2 linked regions of the Caenorhabditis elegans genome follow. Changing the gene in region 2 together with the main gene of any one other region gives a genetic interaction. Each region holds a gene or a part of one and is shown on either strand. Other genes may lie near its edges.

Region 1 (5,709 bases), on a different chromosome or scaffold from region 2:
TGGCAAATTTGGCAATTGCCGCCTACGTTTGATTTAGATCTACAATTCTTAGAACCTCCTCCTTTCAACCGATCCTTTCACAAGTAAAGTGCTCCACTCTCGCAAGAAAAGGTTTTGATTTCACGCTCCAATATCAAAACGAAACTTTTTTTAAATACTAAATTACTTATTGAAAACAGATCACTGTAAAACTCTAAGCCACTTTCTGGATAAATAAAATTTCGATCTGAAACATTTTAAGCGTAACTGTGCACTACTTTCGACGGACGTAAAACTGCTCGGATAACTATTTTGATGATTTCCAAGGATTTTAGGGGGTTTATATTTAAGTGAATATCCTGGCAGCTTTTTGAAAGTGTTTTTTTTTTTGATAATATTAAATTTAATCCATCAAGCTCGATCGGAAAAAATCAGACCAAAATTACATTTCCAAGGATTCTAGAATATTTGGCTACTGTAAACACTTTTAAAGTTGACATAAGTCGTTTAAAAGCTGCAAAAAGAAATCTCGAGCAGTTCTAAAGCCCTCAAAAACAATGTAAAAATACACAGAAAAAGTTTAAAATCTAAATTTTTAAATAAAAAATTTTAAAACTCGTTTTGATGTTTTAGAGTAAAATAAAAACCTTTCTCTATCAACAAAATTGATCACACGCAAATTGGAGATTAGGATTTTGGCAAAGAAAGAAGCTAAGTTCTGGATGAACATATACGTGGTGGAGCTCCCATACAAGTGAGTACACTATCGACCCAATGCATCGGATTATTCAAATGAGCCTGAAACCAAACAGGCGATCGGAGGACGGTTGAACGACGATAGTGTTCTCCCCAACCTTTGCAGAACGAAACACGAACTGTGCACATTCGTGAGAGACAGTAGACGTCTGAAATGTTGGAAGAAAAAAAATGTAGCTGACTAGAAGGTTTGAGAATTCGTATTCTCCGAAAGTTGCATCGGTAAAAACTATACACCAAAAAATGTCAAAAACTTTTTATAAATTATTTTTAGTTGACAATTTTGATATATCGCACAATAGCCGTACTTTGGACGAAAAGTAATATGATATAATAGAAATTACTAATTCACTCTCACCTTGATATGTCTTCTCAGCTGCTGTTCTCAGCTGTTTGGAGAATAATCTCATGTCAAAAACTTTCATAGTTCCAGTTGGAGGCAACTTTGATACAGTATTCAATTGGAAACCATTCTTCATATTTGCACCGATTGACTGTACAAAAACAGGAATATTGCACAAATTCTCTACATAGACTTCACCAGCTAACAAGTAAAATCGAACACCCTTTCCAATGAGACCACGAACTTCGGCCGTTTGTGGAGAGCGGTTTGGATTGTTGTACCAACCAAGCGAGAAACGGCTGTAATGATGTTATTTTGATATTTACTTGAATTTATGTTTTAGTTCAGTGTACACTAGTGAATGTAGTTAAAATTCAGATGCGTGTAAGTTCTAGACCAGGGCTTCTGTCAATGATACAAACCTTCTGGTTTCTGAGTCAGTGCGACTAGCTGTAAATCCATCGATCAGGCAGTGATGCCCTTCTACATCGGCTTTCTCTCCAATCATCGTTCCTTCTTCATAATAAATTAATTTCAGCCAACTCGGCGACTCTTCATATTCTACACATTCATATATTCCAGCCTGTCGTGACAGATCTCCAAGTTCTAATGCCGAAGATCGATAGAGTGGTCGAGGTTCAATTGGTGTGATAGGCCGTCCATCTGCATACGTTGGCTTTCGGTTTCCATTGTTCTCTGATGAAAAATTCTCGGAATGCATGATGTCACTAACTTCGGAATCATCCATCATTTCTTGATCCAGACTTATTGTATCATTTCCGTTTGGAATAAACTCTCGAGGAGAAGCTGCATGACTGTAAATTTAAAGTTTTATAGATCTAAACTAATATTTCAATTTTTTCCAATATTCAACAGTTTCGTCGGCCCGACCGCCAAATTTAATTTTTTTTTCAACCTTTAGGTCGAATTTCGAATTCTACTTTCAGTTTAGCCAGTTCTTTAGATTGTTGAATCAGTATTGTAAAAACAAAAAAATTCCAAAAAAGTGAAATTCGTACCTAGCTGGAGATGAGAGTCCAGATCTATAATATCCGGGTTCCTCGTCGTCTTGTCGATTACTTTGTTGCAGTAACGATGCGAAAGATGATCCTAATGACATCGTGGTAGAGCTACACGGACTTCCATCAAAAGAGCCAAAATTTCCGTAATTCATATATTGAAAATCTCCGTTTTCAGCTGCATATCGATCATAGAGAAGCTGAAATTTTTATTTTTGAATGTGAGGGGGTGACAGTGGATGTTTTGTAGAAATACGTGCAAATATTTCAGTCAACGTTTTTGGTAAGTTTGCAAATTTCCAAAATTTCTAAAGAAAAAAAAAGATTAATTGCAACTTATTTACTGGATTTTGCATTTTGGAAAGAGTTCAAAAAGGGATATCATCTCTCAACAAACCTTAATTTCATCTCCTCTCATCGTCACATTTGGCACATCCCAACTTGCAACCACCTGTTCCTCTTTCAAATCCTTTTGATTCCAATCATCCAGTGCATCCTCAGTCCGAATCGGAGGTTCACCGTAATCCAATTCCTTATTTACAATAATTGGTGGAACTTGGCACGTCGGTAGTTCAACCCATCGATAATGATACGGATTCAGACAAACATTCCGACTATGGGAATTGAATGCATGTCGACACGTTAATATTGATTTCACTTGAGATTCATATCGAATAACCGGAAATCTGAATGCTCTCAAGACACACATGATAGCTCGTCCAAAGTTTCCAATGAGTTTCTCATTGTGTGCAGGACAGCATCGTGTTTTTGGATCACCTTTAATAACGGCATCGTAGAAAGCTTCAAAGCACTGGTGTTTTTTAGCTACTCTAGAGAGTAATCGGGTAACTTTGAGAGCCCAGTAGATTGTTCCCTAAAAAATAGTTGAGGATAGCTTGACACTTCAAATAGGGCAATTTTAAGGATTTGAATTTCTTAGGAAAAGTTTACTATAACAAAATTTAAAAAACAAGATATGGGCTTTTCTCTTTTCCTGTAATTTTCTCTTTATTTTTTTTTTGGATCTTTTCGAGTCTCCAACATACATTAAAACCTTTTGTCGTAAATATCCTTTCAGTTTCTTTAAGTATTACTATTTTTGAAAAAAAATTGTTTCCTGTTTTAAAAGAAAAGGCTAATTTGAGAGACACATTCTAAAATTAGAAAACGTATAAGTTAATGTTTATGTAGGTTGATTCTAAATATTTTAAAATAAAAATTCGCTAATATGTCTGGACATTTGATGTTTGATCAAGATACGGTATCTCTCAACTCTGCTCTTTTTTAAAGTTTCTTGTTCACTTACTTGCTCGCCGGCTGGCCTAGAATATGAAATTTAAAATTTGCAGATGGCTTTTTAATTTTTAAAAGTAGCCAGCGAGACTATTTGTGTTGAAAATTCAAAAAAAAAGTTTCAAATCTTCAAAAACATACATCTCCTTCAGTGATAATAGTTTCTTCTAACACTTTTTGAGCCATTGCCTCAAGTCTGGGATCAGTAGGTTCTGGTGAAGGAAAATCGTCCATTTTCGTAGTTTTAAAACTGAAATTTCGAAGAATTAAAAAAAATATGGGAGGAGATGTTAGGCTAGAATAAAATCCAAAAAAATGGGCCGAGCTTAAAAAGCAACGACCACAAAAAAGGACTGATTTGGGATAAAGAATAATAAATAGTACAGATGATTTTATATATGAAATTAATATTTTTCGTTGTGCATTGCCGAAATTCAAAAAAAATTTGAATCAGAAAACAGAATTATATCCAAAATGATAATAGAACCTTCTGGTAAGTCATAAGAGTCAGGTGAGCTACTCAAATGGGCGGAGTTTCAATATCTACATAGAAAGGCGAAATGAAAGAATTATGAAATTCAAGAACTCGGAATGAAAACTGGTATGAACGTGTAAAAAATGATAAGAAACAACAGTTTGTGATAAGATTTTTGTGTTGATCAGAATCGTCATCACCTATAAAATCAAGGAAAAATAGAGAGAGAAATGAAGAAAAATGAGAGGAAGTTTTCATTTGATTTATTCAACTTTTAAATGGATTCGAAGTTTTTTCGATATCAGGAACGCGGTTCCAAAATGATCGAAAATCTAGATATTTACCTGAATCTTGATTTTGTTTTATACAGAATTTTTCTGAACTCAATGAAGCCGATGACTCCTAATTAATTTATTCAAGTTTCGTTCATTTAGATATGACAAGGCATCACGAAGATCTCAAGACTCACCCGGCTTCTGATACGTGACCTAGAAATAGTTATAACTCGGCCAGCAATTTATCAAAAGCAAAAAAGTTGGGAGGAAAGTATAATTTCATCTTTTGAAATCGTTTCTCTTAAATTTTAGCAAATGTCCATTTTTAGAATTTCTTTGACTATTTTGAGTTTTTATTTTAAAAAAAAGTCCATTAATAGAAACTAACATAAGTACTACTAAGAAGGCGTCATATTGTTATTTTTGTTTCAGATGGATGTACGTCACTACTTTTTATTGAGGTGCTCTCATGAGGAACCAGAATAAATAAACTATTTTATAACACACTGTACCATTTCCAATTGTTTAAGAAATTAAAAAAATAGAATAGAACTCACAGAAAATCAGTTTTTTTCTGAATCTGGCGGCGAAAAAAGCCAAGATATGGACGGAACCTAATTTTGGGGTGTTCTCTAAGCAAATTTTGAACATTGATTTCGAATACTGAATGTTAGAAGAACGCCAAATTGACGGCGAATAGATTAGGAAAAAAAGGTTTTCAAAACAGTAATAATGTATTTATAAATTCTATAGAAGTATGACATTCTGAGAATATTATAGAAAAAGAGATTTCGTATTATTATTATTATCAAATCATTCTGTGAATCTTCGTATCATATGACTTACTATTAAACAACCAAAATGAGCTGAACCTAAAGCCTTGAAGACCACGAAGTGACCACAGATTAAATACTGGAGGAAGAAACAAAACAAGTAAATAATCATAACAATTTATCTATAAAATCCTTTCAAAAGTTGAAGTAAACAACATCCTTTGAGATATCATGATTAAAAAGAATGAATAATGTTTCTAAATTTGTATAATCCTCTTCCTCTTTTATATTATTTTTATGATTTCTTCTGACTTTGAAGAGAAACAAAATCGGATTCAGATAAATTTCGAAAATTCTTGATTAACTCGGATTAAATGTCTCCTGACAATTGCACAACGAGCAAAACAGATGAAGGGTAGAAGAAGAAAGAGAATTCGTAAGTAAAGAGAATCGAGAAGAGAATAGAAACTGACATAAAAAGTTAGAAGGTTTTATGATTAACATATATCGCATGTTTCTTCGTGTATCGAGAACAGTTTTTTCTCTCTTTCAAATGGAATTTTGAGAGCGAGAAAATTGGCAAATATTATTATTTTTCGTACATGTGAATAGTTAAGAGCTCTCTCCTATAAGAGTATATTTAACTCGACAGGAGGGGTTACTGTACCCATGTACATATTTCTGCGTTGCGTGGCCGCGAATGTGAAAAAACTCGGCCACATTCATGAAAATTTTAATTAAAGGTTTAAATTAAATCACTCATATGGTCAAATTGGCGAACATCATAGTTAACATT
Region 2 (4,227 bases):
AATAGATACGAAAATACTTTATTTCTGTAGTTTAACATGTTCTCGATAGGACGCTGAAGCATGACAATAAACGTGTGGTCAGTACATTTTCTCCTCAGAAGCAAATTGTGTTCCCTTTCTACAACACAAAAATCTGAGCACGCAAATGAAAACGTAAAGAATTACTACAAAAATTATAAGAACAAAAGCAATAACATCAAGATTATAATAAATAATTGTATTTAATCTTGATCCTTCCACGTGTAACTCTTCCAAAACTCCATGATCAATTGCAAATTGTGTCCATTTTGTAAGGCGTTCTTCTGGACTGAATGGATTGTCTCTCATCATTTTTCCAATTCTTATCGCATTTTTTTTGTAACTTGGAGTGTTTTCATGACGTTATTTGATTTACATAACTGTTTGAAATGAGGATATGTCGTGTAAAATCATTAAATTGAATCTTGTTGGATTCAAAGATTTGAAGCTCGGTGATATGATTATTTAAAAAAAAGTTATTTGGATGCCGTATTCGAAGTAAATTATTTCAAGCAATGTTATTGTGAAAAAAAAGAAAAAAAATTGTGTCATATATACAGAGAACTGATGTCAAAGTTACGCATTCGATGTCTACTTTCTCTTGCAACACTGTCCATTTCCACATGGAGAATAGTTTTGCTGGCACGAGCAGGAGTTGACTGATTGTGTCTGGCATGGCATCTGGGCTGGTTGAGCAGCAGAACAGGATTGAGAGCAAGATTGGGTGCAAGCTGGAGCACATTGTTGCATTGGTTGTTGCTGCTGAACGCATTGCTGTTGGCATGATTGCTGGCATTGTGGTTCACATTGTGCAGATTGGGAGACTGAAGCTTCCAGAATGATTGTGACAACTTGTGGAGCAGCAGTAGTGGCAACTGGAGCTTGGCATGCAGATTGGCATTGCTGGCATTGTGGAGCAGATGGTTGCTGGCACTGTGGAGTACATTGTTGTTGGCACTGTTGAGTTTGTTGGCACGAAGTCTGACATTGTTGGCAAGCTGGTGCAGATTGCTGTTGACATTGTGGAGCACACTGTTGCTGACAAACTGGAGCAGCTTGTTGGCAGGTATTCTGGCACTGCTGGCACTGTGGAGCTGATGGTTGTTGGCATTGTGGAGCACACTGTTGTTGGCATTGTGGAACTGCTTGCTGGCAGGTGGTCTGGCATTGCTGGGTGCATTGCTGATTGCACTGTTGGGCTGGAACTTGTTGTTGAACACATTGTTGTTGGCATGATTGCTGGCATTGAGGAACACACTGAGCAGAGATTTCCATGTTAATCTTGATTATTTGTGGAGCGGCAGTAGTGGTTGGAGCACATTGTTGAACACATTGTTGCTGACATTGTGGCTGACATTGTTGAATTGGTTGAGTTTGAACACATTGCTGTTGGCACTGTTGTTGGCATTGTGGCACGCATTGAACTGGAGCTGGAGTCTGGACAACACAGGATTGTTCACAGGCTGGCATGCAGGATGGTTGACATTGAACTGGAGCTGGAGTAGTTGGAGTATAACAGGAAGAAGTCTGACAGCTTTGTTGGCATGTAGATTGACATTGACTAACAGATGGAGCAGATTGACATTGGTTCTGGCAAGACTGCTGACAAGCTGGGGCACATTGAGAAGCTTGAATTTGGTAGGTTTGTTGCTGAACTGGTTGGGCACATGAACAGGATTTCTGGACTGGAGCAGTGTTCTGACAGGAACAACTGTACTGTTGTGGTTGAGTATAGGTGGTTCGTTGGCAAGAGCAACTTGGTTGAACTCTTGGAGCACAGCCACAGGATTGGCGTTTATCGCGAATTGTTGTTGCCTGAAAATTATATGGTATTGTAAGATAAATATAATTATTAATGTATTTTACAACAGTGATTCGTAAGTGATAAGAAACGTACTTCGGCAAGTAGAACGCTAGAAGCAATAAGAGCTGCAATTGCGATAAAGCGCATTGTTAATATGCTTGAAGAGCTGCTAGACGGCAACTGATGTCCTTTTGTCAACCTTTCAGACTTTTATACCAACCTTCTCCTACACTTTTTCACTAACCATCGAACACATACCGGAAAGTTGCTTCCCACTTATCAGACTCTATCCATCAACCGGCTCCATGACGAGCGCAAACATAGCAATGGAGGCATAGCAAATGATCCGAAGAACACGTGTGCCGTCTCATGGTTTTACACACTATTTTTTGGGAGCACGGAGAGTTGCAAAGATTGAAAAAAGGTTGGGTGCGCGTTCCGTCGAATGGAATGTGCTGATACGGTGTGTGTTTGACCGAAACGAGTTTCTGCTTAACTATATGTACCAAAGTTATCGTTTACCTTTTTAGGTACTGCTGGTAAATATTTGTCTTTTACATTTTGAGATGAACATTTGATTTCACAAGTACACTTTAAGTTTATCGACTTTCAAGACCACTCATTACGACATAAATAAAACTACTTTTTCCCTGTTCGCGCACTTATCATTTTGCTCACTAAGCTTCCATCAAAGTGTTGATCTCCTCCGCATCATTTTTTACATTAAGATAAATAGGCGGGAATTCAGGGTTTATGTTCTTTGGTTAACCATACAGTGTGAGTATAAAAGGCCTGGAAACTAGAGAAAATCATCTGTTCCAATCCTTTCGAACCGTATCATGCGCTTCTTCGCAATTGCAGCTCTTCTTGTTTCAAGCTGTTTCCTTATTGAGGTATAATGGCCATCTAATAGTATTGTTGAGCCAAATGTTCATTTTAAATAGTTGTTGAACAGGGCTGAGCGGCGATCCAAAAAAATCGGCTAAGTACCCAAATTTAACAAATATTTGTTTTTCTTGAGCATTGCTTGCAGACATAAGATTATATATTCCACGATTTCAGTCGACCACGATTGACCACGATTTCAGTCAAATTTCACAAAAATCATTTCCAGGCAACAACAATTCGCGATAAACGCCAATCCTGTGGCTGTGCTCCAAGAGTTCAACCAAGTTGCTCTTGCCAACGAACCACCTATACTCAACCACAACAGTACAGTTGTTCCTGTCAGAACACTGCTCCAGTCCAGAAATCCTGTTCATGTGCCCAACCAGTTCAGCAACAAACCTACCAAATTCAAGCTTCTCAATGTGCCCCAGCTTGTCAGCAGTCTTGCCAGAACCAATGTCAATCTGCTCCATCTGTTAGTCAATGTCAATCTACATGCCAACAAAGCTGTCAGACTTCTTCCTGTTATACTCCAACTACTCCAGCTCCAGTTCAATGTCAACCATCCTGCATGCCAGCCTGTGAACAATCCTGTGTTGTCCAGACTCCAGCTGCAGTTCAATGCGTGCCACAATGCCAACAACAGTGCCAACAGCAATGTGTTCAAACTCAACCAATTCAACAATGTCAGCCACAATGTCAGCAACAATGTGTTCAACAATGTGCTCCAACCACTACTGCCGCTCCACAAATAATCAAGATTAACATGGAAATCTCTGCTCAGTGTGTTCCTCAATGCCAGCAATCATGCCAACAACAATGTGTTCAACAACAAGTTCCAGCCCAACAGTGCAATCAGCAATGCACCCAGCAATGCCAGACCACCTGCCAGCAAGCAGTTCCACAATGCCAACAACAGTGTGCTCCACAATGCCAACAACCATCAGCTCCACAGTGCCAGCAGTGCCAGAATACCTGCCAACAAGCTGCTCCAGTTTGTCAGCAACAGTGTGCTCCACAATGTCAACAGCAATCTGCACCAGCTTGCCAACAATGTCAGACTTCGTGCCAACAAACTCAACAGTGCCAACAACAATGTACTCCACAGTGCCAGCAACCATCTGCTCCACAATGCCAGCAATGCCAATCTGCATGCCAAGCTCCAGTTGCCACTACTGCTGCTCCACAAGCTGTCACAATCATTCTGGAAGCTTCAGTCTCCCAATCTGCACAATGTGAACCACAATGCCAGCAATCATGCCAACAGCAATGCGTTCAGCAGCAACAACCAATGCAACAATGTGCTCCAGCTTGCACCCAATCATGCTCTCAATCCTGTTCTGCTGCTCAACCAGCCCAGATGCCATGCCAGACACAATCAGTCAACTCCTGCTCGTGCCAGCAAAACTATTCTCCATGTGGAAATGGACAGTGTTGCAAGAGAAAGTAGACATCGAATGCGTAACTTTGACATCAGTTCTCTGTATATATGACACAATTTTCTCATTTTTTTCACA

Evidence for each region.
Region 1: of abu-1 (region 2) and daf-8, changing one enhances a phenotype caused by changing the other (phenotypic enhancement), as found in Caenorhabditis elegans (one study listed by BioGRID).

The regions. Positions count from the first base shown.
Region 1 is NC_003279.8:8,583,866-8,589,574, forward strand, and holds daf-8 (Smad protein daf-8), read right to left. Parts: upstream 3,643-5,709; 5' UTR 3,625-3,642; coding exon 3,532-3,624; intron 2,972-3,531; coding exon 2,495-2,971; intron 2,298-2,494; coding exon 2,098-2,297; intron 1,894-2,097; coding exon 1,501-1,893; intron 1,378-1,500; coding exon 1,094-1,377; intron 885-1,093; coding exon 691-884; 3' UTR 559-690; downstream 1-558. UniProt on the Caenorhabditis elegans protein: Probably a receptor-regulated SMAD (R-SMAD) that is an intracellular signal transducer and transcriptional modulator activated by TGF-beta-like daf-7 signaling.
Region 2 is NC_003283.11:10,379,817-10,384,043, forward strand, and holds abu-1 (Activated in Blocked Unfolded protein response), read right to left. Parts: upstream 2,011-4,227; 5' UTR 1,970-2,010; coding exon 1,916-1,969; intron 1,834-1,915; coding exon 610-1,833; 3' UTR 524-609; downstream 1-523. Other genes in the region: pqn-2 (Prion-like-(Q/N-rich)-domain-bearing protein), read left to right, coding at 2,662-2,715, 2,937-4,160.